Ovis aries: one gene and its partner. Each later gene encodes a partner of the first gene's protein in a complex. Links are inferred from orthologs where the notes say so. Each region holds a gene or a part of one and is shown on either strand. Other genes may lie near its edges. The genes, in order: ZDHHC9 and GOLGA7.

Region 1 (10,339 bases):
GTGGGGGCCACACACATGCAGAGGATAGTCCCTGACCCTGAAAGAACTCAAACTGTAATATCCACAGAATTACAAAATATTAAAAATGTCATGTAATTATGTGTTAAATGACTGATATGTACAATTAGTCCTATGAATGCAGAAATTACTAGAAAAATTTCATGAAGGAAGAGTCAAGAAGGGACTTGAAAAAGAGGTAGAGTCTGAATAGGCTAGAAGTGGGACAATTATTAAGCAGTGCTACAAAGCTTTTTTCAGTTCATACAATTCAATGACTCCTCTGTACATCAGAAGCACCCAGGAGGGTCAGTCCAACAGGGTTTGATAATGCCTTGATACGATATCCGCTAGAAACAGCACAGTGAGGCATAAGCACTGATCACAGCAGTAAACGCCTTCCTACTTCAGGGGTCAAGAGTCACACAATCATTCATGCCACAAGAGACCTTGACCCCAGTAGTGATCTGGTCACACAGTTAAAAGAGAAAGCTAGGAAGCCACTTTCAGAACACAGTGCACTTGGTCTTTTCCCCAAGCTTTATCAGAAAGTTGAATTTGACTAAATACCACAATAGCCTTTCAGTAGTTGGACAGTTCACAGGTTGTCAGTGTCAGTCTGCTACAGTGTCCTGACATTCCTAGCCAAGCTGTTGGCTATGTGTTCATCACACAAGCTGGACAGAGTTTGGGCAGAAAGGATGGAGAATGGTTCATGTGCTTAAAGCTCACATTTCCTAAATACCTCATCCTAAGAATACATTAGGAAATTCCTCTTTTTTTTTTTAATTAGAATACTCTTGATTAAAGTATAGCTGATTTACAATGTTGTGTTAATTTCTGCTGTACAGCAAAGTGATTCAGTTATATATACATTCTTTTCCATTATGATTAATTCCAGGGCATTGGATACAGTTCCCCGTGCTATACAGTAGGACCTTGTTGTTTATCCATTCTATATATAATAGCTTACATCTGCTAACCCCGGCCTCCCACTCCATTCCTTCCTTAACCCATCCCCCATGGCGACCGCAGTCTTTTCTCTGTGTCTCTGAGTCTGTTTCTGTTTTGTGGATAGGTTCGTTTGTGTCACATTTTAGAGTCCACATACATAAGTGATATCATATGGTATTTGTCTTTCTCTTTCTAACTTACTTCGCTTAGTATGATAATCTCTACTTGCAAAGAAATTCTTTTTTTTAAGCACTGTACAAGCACTGTACACTCTGCTTCTAAATTCAAATACATTTACTATAGAAACAATAGATACAATTACATTTAAAATACAGCTATCTACTGGTAATCTTCTATCCTCTCCTTTTCTATGTGTGTATTAGAATCTTCCAGACAGACACAAGAGTTATAGAATTTCAGAATCTCAGAGCTGCAAGAGGCTTAGTGATAATCTAGCCCTATTTCCCATCCTGGGCAGGAATTCACTCTGTGACAGCAGCTCTGAGAGATGGCTACCCAGCTTCTTTGGAAACGCTTCTAACAACACAAAGCTAATGATGAGCACCTGTATGGACCACTTTTTCTCATTTTATGTAGTTAACCTACTGTCTGTTCACTGAAAAATCACAGGACCCTCCTTTGAGAAATCTAAACATGTAAAAGCGAAATCCAAAAATAAAAAAGATGTCCACTGACACTACTAACACTGCATGTTTTTCATCAAGGGGCGCCCACACGCCTGACCAGATTTCTCAAGCCATCTGGCCGACCCAGGGCTGTGCCACAGGGGGTTATAAATCACCTCTCACTCATTCCTGCACACCTGCTGCAAGCAGGACCCTGTTACGAAAATGCAGGTCCAGATGTGCCTCAAGATCTGAACTTTTTTCCTCAAGGCCAAAATGCAGCAGCCAGAGAATGTACAGTCTATGCTCCTATACAATTTAAACATGAAAAGAGACGGTCGGTTCAGACACCCTCAACTGCCTGAAGGCAGGGGACTAAACCAGGTGATTTCCTGAGGTCTCTGTAAGTTCTCATACTAGCAAAGGAGCCCATATTCTGCCCCCAAACCCTATCCTCCACCATGTGGTGGATAGTGAGTTATAGACCCCCAAAGAAAAAGGTTGACTAGAAAGAGACTTCATTCCTCAGAGGCAGGCTGGTGTCCTCTGTACAGCCTGTCAGTGGCTAGGCTCAAGGCAGCCGCCACCTAGAGTGCCCACGTGTCTGCATGTGACAGACAGATGCGTGCATGTGCACACATATACGCATACACATACGTGCTCACAAACACAGATCCCACCATTCTCAGTAAGAAGGATTCATTGACGGGGCCCTCTCCCCTTTGGTCAGATGTAAACTTCCCCATTCCACTTCTCAGCTAACACTTTTACTTCCTTCTCCCTTCCCCTTTTCTACTCCCTCGCCCAGCCCCACCTTCGAAACTATTTACTCTACCACACACACAGCTGGAACCCAGGGCAGTTTACAAACAACCTCACCCTTCACATCTGAGGGCAAAGCGCAAGAAATAACTTGGGGGGAAAAAAGTCATCTCACCAGAAAACCCAACCTGCCTCTGTCAAACAGTAACTTGGTTGGTTATAAGCTTCATCTCACAGGCAGTTTTCTTCAGAGGCCTTCAGGGCCGAACAGAACACATCCAAATCATACTCTGTCTGGCTTCCAGATACAAAAAGGGCCAAACGCCAGTAGCTCCAAATTTCAAGTTCCCTTGGCCAGTCAAACCAGAGGGTTCCTGGGCCCAGAATTACCAGCTCGCTCAGGGCCTGGAAACAAATCTCATCTCTGTTTTGAATGGTTTCAACCACAAAAATTTAACCCTGAGTTGGGGAGGGGAGAGAGGCAAAAAGAGCTAGTGATTTAGCAGAGGAAGGAGTGAGAATGACAGAAAGCAGAGTTCAGCTCTGCACTTCCATAAACAAGCAAGGAAGAAACAAAGCTAACTTGGAGACAAGACTGAGAAGTGGGGAAATATTTTTTTAAATGTTATGCTTATGCCTGCCCGCCTGCACACGCTCACTTGTACCACACAAAGTATACACACACACATTCAGCCATGAAACTCTGACTGGAAAGCAGCTAAGAAGCCATGATCAACCTGTCTGATTTTGCCAAATATTTTACAACTTGGTAGCAACAGCAGCAAAAAACGTGCCTTTGACAAAAAGGTCCTCTGACCTTACTTTCCTGGCCTTGTTATAAACTACATCCCTCTCCTTCCCCTGCTGTTATTCACGCCATTTGCACTTATCCCAAAGTCTGGCAAACCAGCCCCCAAAAAATCACTCTTGATGCACTGGGAAAGCCTGAAGCCCTTACAGAAGAAAGACAAAAATGAGCCCCCAAAGATCAGAGTTCATTTTAATTATCCACCAAGGCAAGCCAAGAAGCCCCCTCCTCCATCCCATGGCCACACCCCCTGAGGGGAGTTCCATTTCCAGGTCACTGGAGGGCATGAACTGTAGCAGTTCATATTAGGTGTAGCTCATGGTCTACAAACACATCTCTTGGCTCCTTCAAGGCCTTCCTCATAATAATCCTAAACCAATTAGCATTGCTCTCATCCCTGGAATGTACATTCTCAGCATACCCAGGAGTCATGCCACAGTAGTCAACTGGTCAACTCCCTAGAGTAGTGACCAACACAGATTTCAAACTGCCTCTAAAACTAGCTGTTACATCACAGGAAAAATAACTCCAAGGCTGGTATCAGGCACACACAGAATAGAGAGTTGTTTATGTTGAGTGATTTTGACTGAGAGAAAGAGCAACTCACATTTAATAAGCACATATGTGCCACACAGGCAGCTAGACTGTGGCACAGCTGAGGCTGGAATCAATCGGCAGGTTCCCAATTCAGTTGGCTTTTCAATTTAAGAGCTAGCTGAGAGCTGAGCCCTAAGAAAATAGGACCCAGAATAACAGAATAGGTGAGTATCATGGGGTGGAGTTATGACCACAGGGAGTGCTCCTAGGCTCAGGAGGGGTGGAGAAGAGGCAATCTGTCACTAACCACCTAAGGAGACCACTGTAAAGGGGAGGTGAGTAATGAAGATGAATTCTTTTATTTCCTAAGTGTTCCAGGGGCGGCCCCAAATCAGTGCTATAAAATTGGTTATCAAACGTCTTGGTCTTTTAAGGAGGCACATACAAAGCAATGAATTCAGTTGACATGATCTACAGACACTGCTCAAGAGGACAGTGACAACCTTCCAAGGACTAGCCATAAACTCCCCAGAAAGAAGGTTCTTTCCCTGGACCCAAAGTAACCATAATCAGGCAACAGTACTCAATGGAAACTCACTCGAAGGCGAAGAAGAGCGTACATGTCCCCAGGATGAGGAAGAGGGTCAAATAGAAGATGCCCTTTTGCCGGGCCATCATGACGCGGCCATCACAGCAGAAGGTGTTCCTGCCTGGGAGTTTCTCCCATTTCCGTGTCACCTTCTTTCTCACCACCATCACAGACATGATTGGAATTCCTGGTCCAAAATGGGTTTGTGATTATAAGAGGGAAGATACAGAAGCTGAGCCCAGCTTTGAAATCACGATGTGTGCTATTGCTGCCACTGGGTCAAACATCATCAGAAGTCCAATTTCTAGCCCTAAGGAAAAACACAAAAAGAAAAAAAAATGAGGCAAGAACAAGAAAATGCAGTTCAATCTTCCTTTCCCAGAGGCAGAAAGATGAGTACTGCCTCAAGGGTTGAGAGTGAAGAAATGGAAGAGTTTATTTCCAATCTGTTTTTGTCCCCTAAAAGAAGAAAAGGTTAAAGGTTCTCAAAAAGAGAAAGAGGCTAGTATATCTTACATACATCCCTTTACTTTCAGTATAATACTGATGATTTGACTATCACAGAACTAGGAACTAGAAGAGGTTTTATAGGTGACAGCCCCAATTACTTTGTTTTGGAAATAAGTAAACTGAAGACTGAAGTGGGGAAATCACTTCTCTGGGTCACAAGGCCACGAAGCTAAGCCAAGAAAACAGGTCTGTTGACTTTCAGTCCAGGGTGCTCTCCACTATACCATATTATTGTATAATTATCATGAAAAAGACTCTACAAATGATGGAATTTCTATCCTTAAGGGCCATTCCCTTCCCTCCTCCATTTCTTCACCTTCTTTCTTCAATTAGCCACTGGAATCTGAATCACACCAGGGAACAAGTCATCCTTTGGGAGAGCTAGGAGGTTTTGGACACTGTACACAAACCCAGGTTGTATTTACTCCAAACAGATTTCCCCTAATCAAACCCTCCTAACTTCCTGAGTCTGGGAAATGAACCAACTTTGCCGGTCTAGCCTAACATTTGTGGGAATCTTAATGAAACCACATCACAGACCTGTAGGTGAAGGGCTGACTTAAGCCAGAGAGATTCTTATATGGCTGGGAGGAGGAGGGGCCCAACGGAGGGGGAGGGGTGGCAGCAGTTAAGAAAAGTCACAAAGGTGCTTTCTGGGACATTTCAGAAGTACCATCTCCACTTAGCATCCTGAATCCCCAGGCCCAGCCTTTCTCACCGCTGTCACCCTTCTCCTTTCAGGTGTGGTGCTGTGGCCTCTATTTACCGATACCACATGCCTCACGCTGGCAAGAAGGAGGCGGAAACCTGCAGCTCGACTGACTGATGAGAAATAACCAACTGGGCTGAAGAGGGCAACGGTCCAAAGAGAGACTAGGAGCTGAGCAGGGAAAGGAGAAGCTGGAAGGCTTGGGAAAGGGGAGGGGGCATCGGAGGTGTAGAGAACACTTCCTTTGTGTAAAACTAACCTGGATAACAATCTTCTCCTGATAAACCGCCCCAGCGGGAGGAGAGACCAGGAAGGGGAGCCGGGCCTGGGAGAACAAAGATCAAAATCCGTCGAGAACCAGCGACCAGCCCAGCGGTTCGGGGCCCGAGGCCCGAGTCCCGGACGGGCGGCGGGCGCGGCCTCGAGAGGCCCGCCCAACCTCAGCCACGCCGCCGACCACCGCCCCGGGCAGGATGGGACGCGCGCCACCTCCGCACGCTCGTACACACACACGCCCCGCCACGTGTAGTCACCCCCGGCCAGGGGCTCGGCAATCGCCGAGCCGAGAAGGGCAGAGCAGGCTCCGCGCATCCCAGGGCAGCCGAGGGGGCTGCAACCCACCACGCGGCCGAGCCCCGGAGACCCCCACCCCCACCCACCCCCTTGTTACCTGAACCCCGGAGACCGAACTCGGCCGGGAACCGAAGCCAGGAAGTACACTGTCCCAGGGGACCGCGTTGGCCGCCAGAGATGGCAGCGGCTTCTCCCCAGCCCGGAGGCTGCCTCCTCCTGACAAGGGGCCCCAGTCGTCGGGGCCCTAAACCAGCTGTGGCAACCGCCCACCGCTGGCCAAATGGAACGCTCCTCACGTCACCAGGTCGTTCCAGTAGTTGCTAGCCCTCTATTGGCTGATCCGCCTCGGCGCCTCCGCCCCTGCCACCCCTGCCCCGAACTACCATTGGCTGCGCAGAACGCCACTCGACGACGCCTCCGCCCCATTCCCCCACCCATCTCCCGACTTCGTGCCCACCTGCCAAGCCTTTGCCAGCCTCCCTTTGGGGTCTGAGCACCGATGTGTGAAGTGTCGCTTTCTATTAATATAGTTCCGCAGGGACCGGGATGAAGCGTAGTGTCAATGGGACTAGGAGGAACGGGGGACCTGCCTCCCCCCGCACACACGTACCATGAGACGCTGAAGGAACCCTGGCTCACAGATCCCGGTGCTCACCCCAAACTGGATCCTCCTTGGGCCTCTCCAGCCGTACTTACATGAAATCAATCGCGACTTGGGATTTTACTCTGTACCCGCGTAAAAATAAGTTCTGCCTCCCAAGTCATATTCACGAGGTAGGGATCCCACCTTTGTCCCAGTCACCCTGGCCTGCATCTGTGGCTTTAGGGACAAAACAAACATATAAAAAGGAACTTGAAAGAGATAACTGTCCCCAAGAGGATAGAATCACTTTGCGGTATCGTAAACAAAAAATTGACGCTGAAACTCTACTGACAGGACATAAATTCTTTCAGGTAGGTGATGAAGTAAAGATTGCTTCAAAAGCTTATAAATGACTATTAGATTTGAAGAGCTTGTGATAATGAGGCGCTGAGTGGGGCTCAGAGGGGAGCAGCAGAAACTCTACCCACCAACCACATTGATTCTATCTTTCTGCCACCTCTCTGACAGGGCAGTTATTACCACAATGAGCCACTGCTACTGATCTGAGTGAGTCTCATCCTTTAGCATAAGATTGGAGTGGGGAAAACAGTTGAGAACCGCGAAATCAATATTCTACAACAGACTTTAAAAGATACTGGGTCTGTTTCCGCTACTGTGGCTCTTGGCTTCCAAATATAAGGGGAAATATGAGAGAGGGTGTAAGGTGGTCTTTCCTTACCTGTCACACTATCAGGGAAAGTGCCCAGATTGTCAGCTATTTTCCTAAGCTTGAACAAAGTTTCTCTGGGGTGAAGGTATTTGCAATGAATACAAAAGAGACTGCCAAAGCTCTTCCCAAGGCAGTTTTTTTGTGTGTGTTAGTTGAAGGACCACTGCCTGGTCAAGAACTATTTCTCCTTTTATGGGATTTGGGTCCCACAAGATATGAAGCAAAATTCTATCTAATGATAGTTACATTTGACACATTCATGGTACCCTTCAATCAAAAATTTTAAAGGATAAAAAAATTACTAGGTAATTCTCTTATGAGAGATGTGTTATAATTCATTTGTAGGAGAAAGTACATCTTTATAAAGCTTTTATTGTTCCCCAGCACTCATGCTGATTATAATCATCGGTGTAGTTTTTATGAACTGTATGATCAGTATCATCACCTCCATTCTCCCCTTTAAATCCTCGAGGCTGCTGGTATTGCATTCATTTGGTATGGAAAGGAGAAGGACAGCCCAGCAGGCCTCTGGGTTCCCAAGCCTGTGTATACCAGAGGCCCTTAGGAGTCTCCCCGGCTGTCATCCTCCCAATTGGGGAGTGGACAAAAATAAACCTCCACAGCACCCAAACGTCTCAGGTGTAGGTGAAGCCCTGGGAGTCCTGGAATGAGTCACAGCAACACATTCCTGAGCTCTGCCCCTCCCTGCTCTGGGTCACATTCCCTCCGGGATTATTAAGTGACTGTGTAGGTCAGGCTTGCTTTACTACAATCTGTTATCATTTGTGCTCACCTCTGAAAGAAAAATAAGGAAAATGGATATGGACAAACCCTCCATACCGATACCTTCTATGCCATTGCATCGTTTCATATTATCCCCAAGGTCTTAATACACATCCCTAACTACACTGTGACTATAAATGAACATTGTTTTCTCTTTTACTCTTTTCCACAAACCTCTAGACTTTATGCATCCAAAGGGGTGTTGGCTCCTTTGAAGGGGAGTTGCAGTCACGTGGTGAGTGCTCCAAACGGCATGGAATAAAGGCGTAGGCCTCCATTGTGTGGTCACACACATTCTGGTGTGCTTTTTTAAAAATACTTGTCTCCATATTGACAGTTCCTGCGTGTGTTCGTGGTGTGGAGGTGTCAACGGCCTCAGATTCTGAGTGCTGCTGTGGAGTTGCAACTTGCCTCTTTGTGTTGCTCCAGACATCTCTCCTGTAAACACCCAGAGACCCCTTCAGTACTGTATCCAAAACAGATCCCCAAACTTAGTCCCCATCCTGCATTTAAGCTCTTGTTGGCCTCATTTTTTTTTTTTTTGTCTGTTTACATTAGCCTCAACCTTTTCAGGCCGCCTTGTCCTCCTACCCACACAAGTGTCCCTTTCTAGCTCACCCACCTGGCCTGCTCTCTTCTTACTTTCTGGCTATAAATAAACATATATTTGTAGAATGAACTGATGAACAAAGGAAAGAACCACGGGCATCCTGTCCACAGGGACCAACTTAGTGTTCTTAAGCAATAGCTATTTCCCTGGGGGCTGGGCTGCTTTCCCTGATGCAGAAGAGGCAAGATGGTATGCATAGCAGAAAGCACCGAAGCTTTATAGCCAGATGGACTTAGGTTCAAATCCTGACTCTGCTACTCAGGAGCTCGTGTAAATTATGTCAAGTAATTTCTCATTTCTGAGTCAATTTCCTCAGCTGTAAAACAGAGCTAATGCCTACTTCATAGAGCTATAAAAGGAATGGGAGATGATGTGTGCTAAATGTCTGGCATATAGGAGAAATACAATCAATGATGTATGTTCTAATGATATCTGTAGGTAACTGCCGTTTCCCACCTCCCTCCTTTATCTGCACTGATGACTGGGGGTAGAACTGTAAGAAGAAACAGACCCATTCTTCACTTTGTCGAACCCTGGTCATCCGTGTGCTGTGTGTTTACAGAGCGTCTAAATCTGTCACTTGGAATTAATCCTTATCTGACTGGCCCCTTGGCTTCCCAGTCCCCGGGGAACCTTACTTATGCTTGGGAAAAGCTTGGGCTATAATCGTGGTCTAGTAGAGTGGCTGTTTTGTAGCACCATCATCTCCAGGGAATCCTCAATATTGCCTGAATATTATGTGTTTCAATAAGTAAGAGACCACTGGCATCTCTGTCATTGTACACCTTCTGTGTTCACATCACTGTGTTGGGACTGTTGGCTCCTGTCAGAGACTGAGAAGCACCTTTAGGATGCCACCATGTGAAAACCAAACATTTTACAAATAAGTAATATTTGTATAACAAATACAATACAAAAAGTCCAGGGAAAACTGCCTGGGTGCCAAGAAGATCCTATGACAGTGCAACTAAAGTGCTCCAACCCAGTCTCTGCCCCTGCCTCTGATGCCAGTCTGCTCTTGCCAGTTTTAAATTTTATTTCATCTCTAGACTGTGGATCTTTGACTCTACCCAGAATGATTTTAGATGCTGTGCCGGAGCCCTCAACACTAATCCTAAGACTTCTTGTTGTTGTTTAGTTGCTCACTCGTGTCCCACTCTTTGTGACCCTGCGGACTGTAGCCCACCAGGCTCCTCTGCCTGGCAGATTTCCCAGGCAAAAATACTCGAGTGGGTAGCCATTCCCTTCTCTAGGGGATCTTCCCAACCCAGGGATCAAATCCACTTCTCCTGCATTGGCAGGCTGATTCTTTACTGCTGAGCCCCCTTTCACTAAACAGGAATCATAATCACATCAATGGAGACCATTTATTAAGGACCTCCTCTGAGCCAAGGATTGTGCTAGGTATTCACAGTTTAGGTCCCTAGATTATGGTCTAAACTTGATGTCTAAGTGAGAGCATATGATACAAACCCAGCACAGCCCTAGCCTCCCGCTCTGCCCAGCCCTCTCATTCCACGAGCTGACTTCAAGGGATTGTGTTAGCCCCAAACTATAAACTGGTTTAT
Region 2 (9,583 bases), on another chromosome or scaffold:
TCGTCACACACTTTCTTTCCTGCTTAATGTTCGGCATCAGAAGTCACAGAGGATCCGTATCCACTTTCAGTCTGTTCTGTCTTAGCAGCTCCTCTTTAGTGATACATTTCGTGAGTGAAGGGACACGGGATCCATTCGATTAATTTTATTGAACACCTACTATGTGCTAAGCACTGTGCAGAGGATATAACTGAATGGGCAGACGTGGTTACTGACGTTGTGGAGTTTATAAGTCTGGTAAAAACTGATACTAAGGAACAAAACCCACAGAATTGTAAGTTGTGATAAATGCCTTAGAAAAAACCAAACTTCCCGAGGATAGACCAGAACCAGAGAGACTAATTTAGATGGGGTGGTCAGAAAGGGTCTCTGGGGTGCTAGCGTTCAGCTGCCACGTGAAAGATGGGGAGCCTGGGGCCTTTCAGAAGGCTGGAGGAGGATGTGCAGAGCGTGGGCCCCCTGTGCAGAGGAGGAGAGGGCAGAGGTGACAGGAGAGGTGAGGGGACCTGCGTTCTGCCCCATGGAGTGTGTGCTCCGTGGAGAGAGGCTTAGATTTTATTTCCATGCAGGGTAGGATCACTGAAGCTTTTCAAGCAGGAGAGTGGCAGGATCCGATTTTCATTTTAAACAGATTTCTTGGCTCTGAGGAAGAAAGGTATAAAAGTGCAAGTAAGACGCTTCGTAGAAGTCCGGGCAGGAGACAAGGAGAGCCTGGGCGGGGAGGGAGCGGCAGGGACGGCAGGAGGTGAGCGGATTCAAGGGGCGAGGTGGTGGAGGAGGAGGCACGCTAGGGAGCCACTGACCACAGGAGGGGGTGGGTGGGGAGGGCTGGGCCTGTGCAGGTAAGATACTCATGCCACGTGGCCGTAGAAGACGTGTAATATAGCCAATTTAAGGCAGAAATATGTCCTCCAGAGTGTTTTATTCACGCCTCATGGAATATTGCATGCTTGAATTGTTATTTCACTGTAGTTTTTAAATTTGTTGATGAAATTTTAATCAACTTATTTTTTCATGTGTCTTTGCTAAAATAGATACAGATACCTGCCTCTGGCATCAGTTATAGAGAGACTGATCACTGGGTGCCAGCCAGGTCATTTCCTAGTTATGAGTCATGGACAAGTTCATCTCTCCAAATCTGAGTTCTCAGTTGTAAGCGGGTCTTAGATTGGTAGTTACCAAGGAGTGGGGATGGGTGTTAGCAGATGCAGATGAGGAGACATAGGAAAGAAACCATCCTGGAACAGAATATGAAAGAGAACGTAGGTACATGTGCAACTGAGTCACTTGGCTGTATATCAGTGATTAGGACACGTTTGTTTAAAAAAACAAAAAAGGTAAATCCAAAAAAGAAATATAATGGATCTTTGAATTAATAAATTGCCTTACATATGGCAGGTGCTAAATAAAGTTTTCTTAAGATAGACTTAAAAATCGAGTTAGTGTGTGTGTGTATATATATGTTTTAATCAGATATGTGTGCACTTACATGTACAGGTTTTTTTTTACCTTGAGTGTATAAGTGTATAAGTCATCTTTTTTTAGCAGCTGCTGGTTTCTTTACCTACTAAAACATTTAGCAACTCTTAATTAAAGTCTTTTTTGATTAGTATTTGATTATTTTGATGATCAATTTCAGAAGGCACGTCTCAAATTATATCAGAAAATAATGGACTTGAGTTCATAAATAACATATAAGGTATTACTTTACAAGTCTAATTAAAGTCTCTTTTACAGAGTAAGTATTATAAAGCAAATAAAGACCCAATAAAATTAGTCAAGAAACCCAAATTTATGGCACATTTTATAAATGTGATTTTATATAAGAAATTTGGACATGAATTAACTAGATCATGCAAAGTACATAACTGGAATGGTCATAATAAAGATATAATCTCCATGTACTTTTAAAAGGAAACATTGTAAATGTGTATTTGTATTTTTGATAAGATGATAAAAATGTTAGAGTGCTCAGCCACTCCCTCTCTCCAGTTTGCCCCTTAGGAATTCCTGTGCTATTATTTTCTCCTTTATGAAGGGACAAAATTGAGTCATTTAGTCTTTATTGTGTTAAACACTAAAACTTCCAGTCTACAAACAGTAAGCCACGCATAGTGACACTTACACTTTGTCCTGTGGGTTAAATTTTTTGAGATTGTAAATAGGCCTTTTAAAACCCACTAGAACAATCGTGCTTTTTTTTTTTTTTCTATAATGTGCTATTTATTGATTTACAATGAAGATAAAGGCTTCAGTGTTATTCCCCTCCATTGCTGCCCATTATAATCAGGGAACAAATGGGCCTGTGGAACGTTCTTCTTTCAGGAGCAGTTGCTGTGTTCGTCCACCAGAGACGTCCCTGCTGCCCATGGGCTGTGATGTGAAAAGAGCGCAGTCAGAGAACTCAGATCTTTCTGGAAACACTAAGCCCCTGGGCCTCTCACTCAACCCCACTTCGGTTATCTTTCCTCAAGGGCTTTGAGAGGCTTATTCTCAAAGAGGACAATAGCCTTTCCTGAGGTCTGAGTGTTTAACTTTGTAAATACTATACAAACTGAGGTTTTTATTGCGGGTTTGAGGATAACAGATAATTTTGTTGGTATTATAGTTTGTTTTAACAACGATTCACTAAAAATAGTGAAGTATGAATAAAATGTCAACACAAAGTTCCTTGAGGGTGAGAACGGTGCTCTGTCCTGGCAGGAGTGAGGTACGAGTTGACTCACGTCCGTGAGCTGTCTGTTGCTAACAACACATCTGGGTTAGCATGGTGCCGCCTTCACTGCAGTGCTGTGGGAGGATTTGCAGCTGGCGCCCAAGGAAAACTGTCTTCTTTCTGAACTGAAACCCAAGTGTCCATGAGTGTTACCAAAGTTTAAACAAAAGCCTTGCACGACAGAGTTCTGCTTGAATCAAATAAAGCATGGCTGTGTCTTTGCTAATAACCTGCACTCGAGGAGGGGAGGAGAGCTATGTGAAGGAATCCTTTCTTTGAAACCAGCCATGCAGGCTGGTTTCTCAATGTCTGCCCAGTGTAAATGGACGGGGTGAGGGGAGCCTGGCTGTCCGGTTTCGAGCTCTGGCAGGTGAGCACAGAAGGAAATTGGAGCGAAGAGGGAGAATCCTGAATTGGGCACCATCATGAGTGACTTGCTTCCCTTCTTTTTAGCATGATTGACAGTGTTCTTGCCTGGAGAATCCAGGGATGGGGAGCCTGGTGGGCTGCTGTCTGTGGGGTCGCACAGTGACTTAGCAGCAGCAGCAGCATGATTGACAAATGCTGGTGGAAAGAGAGTGACTGAGATTTTTTTTTTTGCTCATAAAGACCAGGCACTGCTCAAATTCTTTGAGAGTTGAAAATAGGAGAATGACATATGTACTTTAGGTAATAAGGTGAAAAAGTCTTTTCTTTAGAAATAGTATTCTTACATTACTTCATAACCCTGCAGATGACTCTTTTAATAATATCATGCTCTTTTTTAAAAAACGTAAAACATGAGATTTTATTATTCCCCAGAGATGTAACCTGAATAGACTGTTTATTGTCCTTCAGTGAGAAAATCCATTATACAAGCAGCATAGAGTTTTAAATTCTAAATCAGTTTATGCCAAAGCAGCTACGTTTTATCATTCTAATATGTTGGTTTGTTCTGGTACATTATAGACCCATACTTAAATCAGATTTCTTCCTTTCCAGCTTTATTTTCATACAGTTCTTTTTTTCCCTTTATGTTGTGATCACATTTATCTGTGACTTTATCATATTCTGCTAGTGTGAATTTAAGGAAACATACAGTAATTAAAGAATTGGATCAAAGCGTCTTTGAAGATTAGAGCCAGCAAAGGATTATAATGACCTTGAATCTGAAAGAAAACATGTGACTCTTTGATTTTGTGTATCACTATTAAGATTTATTTTCTTCTAGGTTATCTGTCTCAGAATTGCCCTTATTAAAGCTTAAGATTTGGCAATTTCCAGAAGTTCCTTTTTATCCTATCTGGTTTTTGTCTATGTTTGCTTTGACTTTTACAACCTTAATACTAAACTTATAAATCGAGGTTCCCATCTAGGACTCAGGAGCAGGCTGCAGAGCAGCCTCCCATGCAGGCAGGAGATGATGGAGAACACTGGTCACCAGACCTCCATGGCAGCCAGCACAAACGTGCCTGGTGAAGGAAACAGATTTCTCAGTTTTAAATGTACTGGACTCCCTTCGTTATAGGCCCGCTTTGTATTATGACTTTAAATTGATGAAAATGTACAGTGGAGAAAGCAGTTCGTTCTTTCTTTATTGGGGTGGAGGGTGGGGGGCATGCCTCACAGTTTGTAGGATCTTAGTTTCCCTATCAGGCATGCAAATGGGCCCTCAGCAGTGACCTGAGGTCCTGGCCACTGGATTGCAGAGAAGTCCTGAGAACCATCTCCTGAGTGTCCAGGGGAAAGCCAGAAGCTGTTCCTGATATCAGAGGAGGTCACATGTTGCACATTTCCTGAGTAGGGAAGGGGAAGGCACGTAACGTGTATATGGTCACCTCCAAATTTCTCCGTATCCAGGATGGAGGGAAGGGGCGTGGCTCTCGTGCCGCCACCTGGCTGCATCTCTGTTTGGACTTAGGCTGTATGGATGTGCTCAGAACTGGGGCTAGGGGGCGGGTGTTGGGGACCCAGGGCATGAGCCACAGAGTCAGAGCTGTCCCTCCACGTGAACACCTATTTCTTGCTTTGAAAACTAATTCCACTGCCTGAATATTTTGAAGTTCAGCTGAATACTCAAAAAGAGAATCTGATGAAGTTGGTAAGAGAGCTGTGTTGTTTCTCTTTGGTCAGGTCCTGAAGAAAGTCTCCAAATACATTCAAGAGCAGAATGAGAAGATCTACGCCCCACAAGGCCTCCTCCTGACAGATCCCATCGAGAGAGGACTGCGAGTTGTATCTTTTCAGTCCAGATCATGAGGTCTAAATATTTGATTATGGCCGTCAGCCCTGGCCAGAGAGGATTTCCCTCCGTTCCCGAACCTGCCCTGGGCTCTGCTGCTGGAAGGCACTCCCTCCTTCCAGCACAACTCCTTCCCGGGTGGCGTGCTGGTCTCTGGAGCGTGTAGTGTTGGGGCTGCCGCTGTCTTGGTGGCTGTGCAGCATCTTGTAGTAATAATGGAGTGGGGTGAGTCATGCATCTCAGCTGCGGAGGCTACACCAAAGGCCCCTTTGAAATGCATGAACTCAGTGCGCGGAGAGCTCGTCGTCCAAATAAATCGCAGCTCCGTGGGTTCATCTGACTCGTTGAAATCAGTTACAGCTGCCAGATGTATCATTTCATTACCTTTGACATAACTGTATATTTTAGAGGCAGTTGACAACATCACGAAGTTTATTTTGGTAATTTGGTAAATAAAATTACAAAAAAATAATTTAGCTTGATAACAAGTAAAATAAATAACTGGATAAAATAAATTTTTTTTAAAACCTAGGTCAGATAATCCCAGGCCTTCCGGCTGATAATAATTTCAACGGCTTTATTATACTCGTATCAGTGTTTCTTAAACTTTTAGAAGTCGTGAGCTCTCTCACAAGAAAAAGTTTGCATACAATTTCAGGGTGTTTTGCACCCCTGACGTCATTACCTCACTATGGATGCTCAGTGAAGAGCCCCCGTTAGTTCTGCAATAAAGTATCCTTTTTCACATTCTTTTCTTCTTTTAAAAAATAAATAATATTTGGAGAGGAACTCTGTGGTATACCACAAGCAATGACATTTCTTGAATTTTTCAGCAGGGTGTGGCAAACACTGTTTAACTTAAGCAGGAGAAATTTTTAATGTTTTGAAATAAGTAAAGCAAATAATAATAATTTTAATTGCTTAAATAATAATTTAAGATAAGTAAAGGCAAGGGGGACTTTGCTAGCGGTCCGACAGTTAAGACTCCGAGCTTCCAGCTGGTGGGTCCAGGTTCAATCTTGTGTAGGGAACTGAGCTATCCCACAAGGTGCAGCCAAAAGAATTTTTTTTTAAAGTAAGTAAAGAGAAGTCCGCACAGATCATACCCATCTTCTCTCCGTAGTCCCTTTTCCTGTGTTGTGTTTTCCAGTGTGTTTTCTTAACAGTCATGCTGTTTAGATTGAAATTACCATTTATGAAGACAGAGGTATGAGCAGTGGAAGATAAACCATAGAATTAAAGGTAAATATGAAATTGTATGATTATGTGCCATTTTTGTAATTTTGTAGGGTGCATGAATTTTCTCGTCTGCATCATAAATACTGGCATACTGTCTGTACTGACTTGATATTTAAAATGTGTCATTAACCCAAATTCTGTTAACCCAAGTGATAGTTTAACCCTGATATTTTTTCTTCCCCCTTTGTTGTTTTCAGCCTCATTTTGTTATTACTTTGTTTTGGGGGGTTGGGGGGTCTTATTTTAATATTTCAAAACTATCCTGGACATTTTAATAGATGGGTCTTACACATAAAAATCAGGTCAGAAGATTTCCCTGACATTTTTTCCCCTGACAGATTTCCCTGTCATTAAAGCCATGACAGATGGCTGTAATAACCAAAGAAACGTTTCAGAATAGGGAGAGTCTAAATATTTGATGTATTTAAGTGGCTTCATAGCCCTTTAAAAGAAACCTTACCTCTAGTGGGTAGAACCATACATAAATGTTCACGCGCTTTAGAATGTTCATGTTCTCACGTATCCACATAATGACGCTGAACAACTGAGCAGCAAATTGCTGAATGCTGGTGGGAATGTGGAGGAAGAATCACCTGGAAGCCAGCGCACCTTCTAAGTGACCAGAAAAAAGGGCCAATTTCTGCCCGTTTCCGTCCTGCGCTCCACCTCCCAGTAGTAATTCTGCCGCTGAGCTTTCCTGACCACGTCCGCAGGCAGCTGTCCCTGACTCGCAGGAGGCTGCTCAGAAACAGATTCAGCCAGAGCAGACAGCCTCCTCCCCAGGGCAACAGCAATGATATTCGCTGCTGTTCTGAGGGCATGGCTGTGTGCTAGGTGTTACACAGACTGTTTCCAGTTCTCACAAGAATCCTGCCCAGTATTCCCCCCACATTACAGATAAGCAAACCAAGATAGGAAGAGATTAAGTGATGATCTCCAGGTCACACAGCTAATAGTCCAGGGTTACGAACCCGAGTCTGGTTGACCATAAAGCCTTGTCTTTTCACCGTACTTCCTATAAGTACATGCAGCAGCAGAGATGTGGAGAAAAAAGAGTCCATCGCATTATTCTAAATGCTTTTCCCCTTCATTTCTTTTCCAGTACCTTTTAAAAATAACATCTTGTCTGTTCCATTTGTTGAATGCTATTAATACATAGCTGTCTTCTCTGAGCGCTAGGGAATGTGTCCCCTGAGTTCTTACAAGACAGACCTAAATAATGACACCCTCTGCCGTGTGTTTTATTCTTTACTGAGACTTTGTTTTGGAGCACATAGTGTTACCTGTTCACACGCTTTCTCACGTGCGCTTTGCAAACTGGTACTTCTCAGAGGAGCAGCCAGGAGCCCTAAGTGTGGTTTTGGTGGCGGGCCGCTGGGACGCGTTGGTTTGATCAGTTGCAGCTGCGCTGCCTTGGCACAAGCCGTTTGTCATGACGCACTTTGCAGCTCCTGTTGCTCTAACACACTGTTTTCCTGAGGTGGCGCGGGACTTGGAGCAATCGCACACCAGAGAGGAATCTATCAATATTCAACAACAGCGAAGTTTTGAAATGAGATTTACGTTAGGAACTTGTGGTAATTTCATGAATGCAAATATTTTCGTTCAGTGTAATTTAGTTTTCAGAGCTGTGTGTTCCTCAGACCTGGGATCCTGTGTGGGCTGAGGTCTTAGAGGAAAGGGGAAAACTCTTGAAGAATAATGAATTCAGTTCTGTCATTTTTCTTAAGCATACATGGTGTCTGCAGCTTGACGCATTATATGGGAATTAAAATTAATGACTTAAGAGCACACAAATCATGGAGATGGCCTTTATTTTTTTAAAAGAGTGTTATATTTTACTCCTTTTTAAAAAGTTATAATTTTTTTGATACCTTTATTATTCAACAAACTGATGGTTGTTTTCTCTCTTAAGATTAAGATCGTCTTCTTTACTTAAAAAACAGAATGTAGCACTAACCTATCACGATAAATAAGTGATAATAAAAACACCCAGCGCTTGTGGGCACCTCCTGCGTGCCCGCATCATTCATAGCACCCTCTGGGGTCTGTGGCAGTGTCCCTGTTTTTCAGAAGAGGGGACCGAGGCCCGGAGAATTTCAGTTATTTGTCCAGGGCCCCAAACCGGCAGGTCGGCAGGAGGCAGCCAGGCCTGGATTGGCCGCGCACTCCTGTTCTGTGCTGCCTCTCGAGACATGGTTGGTCAGAGATGCAAACATACAGGCTTGGATCTCTGGACCCTCAAACCATGGACCCCCTTCGGCAGATGAGACAGATCTGGGCATCTCAGTAGCCGGAGCCTGGGTTAATGGAGTGTAGCCCACACGTGGGGAGGTCACAGCAGCTGCTCTTGGGAGGTCAGTCAGTGTCGCTTTCTAAGCCTTTGCTTCTCCCTCTAACTACAGATCCCACGTCCAGCTGGGACCCTCACCTGTCCACCGGCCGACCGCAGAGCGTCCCCCTACCTCCTCTCCAGAGCATCATTCCTTCGTATCTGCTGCCAGAGCCACGGTGCCATTCACTCCAAGGACTGACTTTCTAAAATTCCGCACCTGGAGTGACCTCTAGTCGCTCAGCATCCACTTTGTGTCTCCAAATCGTGTAGGACTCTGCAATATTTTGATCAGTTTCAGAGAAAATGCCATGAAGCGTTTCACTTTGTTCATTCAAAGCCATTAAACAAATATGCAGTTGGTCAGCCCAGCAGTTTATTTCTCACCTGCTGCCAGTACCAGTGGTTCTCATCATTCCTTGGGCTTCAGCATGTTGTATCCTAGCCAGTGTTCAGTCTTACTCCCCCCAAATTCATGAAATGCTTTTCTCCAGGATTTTGGTGAAGGGTGGGCTGTGTCTGGTTTTGCTAACGCATCTCCCAGATTTCAGAAAACTACCAGTTTTGCTGTGACTCAGAGCTTAAAGGTCTAGTTCTGCTGTTTAATTCCCCAAACCGAAGCTCATTGGAAAAATAATGTATTATTTTTCTTGTTTTATTATATCAGTTTCCTAATTAAAGCAGTGTTTAATGCATTTTCCAGGTTTGGGTTTTTTCAGAATTCTGTTGGTACCGCATCACCTCGAGCATTGGGAAGACGTGGTCTGTGTCGCTTGTTCTTATAAGAATGAGTAAGCACAATAAAGTGGATGCTAAACCATCAAACTCAGATGTCCCTGCTGTGTCCCTGAATGTGTAACGAGCAAGTGTAATAAATATTTTAATTATAGTTTTGTTATAAATGTAACTTAAGAGGAAAAATTTGATAGGAATAATACTGTATATTGCTAATTTTTAACTCTCCCTGCTGGCAGTCCTTATGGTTCATAGACTTTATCATATACAGTATTCCACGCACAGAAACATGTATGATTGGTTCAAGTTCAGTAAGATAAGTGATTTCCAGCTAAAACTG

What was found.
Region 2: the proteins of ZDHHC9 (region 1) and GOLGA7 are in contact, whole or in part, in a cryo-EM structure (PDB 8HF3), measured with the Homo sapiens proteins. The link is inferred for Ovis aries from reciprocal best matches to the Homo sapiens genes ZDHHC9 and GOLGA7. Residues at the interface, in NP_001008223.1 of Homo sapiens: Phe78, Ala81, Arg85, Ile94, Pro95, Leu98, Asp100, Glu101, Phe104, Ile105, Phe129, Gln130, Ile131, Asn132, Ile146, Pro149, Pro150, Arg182, Tyr183, Leu186, Tyr274, Lys281, Cys284, Glu285, Leu287, Cys288, Gly289, Pro290, Leu291, Pro292; in NP_001002296.1 of Homo sapiens: Lys11, Phe13, Gln15, Tyr18, Ser19, Ser20, Gly21, Thr22, Ala57, Glu58, Leu60, Ser64, Tyr65, Gly68, Cys72, Ala75, Tyr76, Thr77, Phe79, Leu80, Tyr86, Glu87, Leu90, Ile116, Arg118, Gly119, Arg121, Val122.

What each region holds. Positions count from the first base shown.
Region 1 is NC_056080.1:113,758,652-113,768,990, forward strand, and holds the start of ZDHHC9 (palmitoyltransferase ZDHHC9), read right to left. Parts: upstream 6,348-10,339; 5' UTR 6,163-6,347; intron 5,818-6,162; exon of another isoform or gene 5,752-5,817; intron 4,584-5,751; 5' UTR 4,450-4,583; coding exon 4,283-4,449; intron 1-4,282. UniProt on the Homo sapiens protein: Palmitoyltransferase that catalyzes the addition of palmitate onto various protein substrates, such as ADRB2, GSDMD, HRAS, NRAS and CGAS. The ZDHHC9-GOLGA7 complex is a palmitoyltransferase specific for HRAS and NRAS.
Region 2 is NC_056079.1:35,772,437-35,782,019, forward strand, and holds part of GOLGA7 (golgin subfamily A member 7), read left to right. Parts: intron 1-4,828; coding exon 4,829-4,930; intron 4,931-6,116; coding exon 6,117-6,164; 3' UTR 6,165-6,179; intron 6,180-8,581; 3' UTR 8,582-9,583. UniProt on the Homo sapiens protein: May be involved in protein transport from Golgi to cell surface. The ZDHHC9-GOLGA7 complex is a palmitoyltransferase specific for HRAS and NRAS.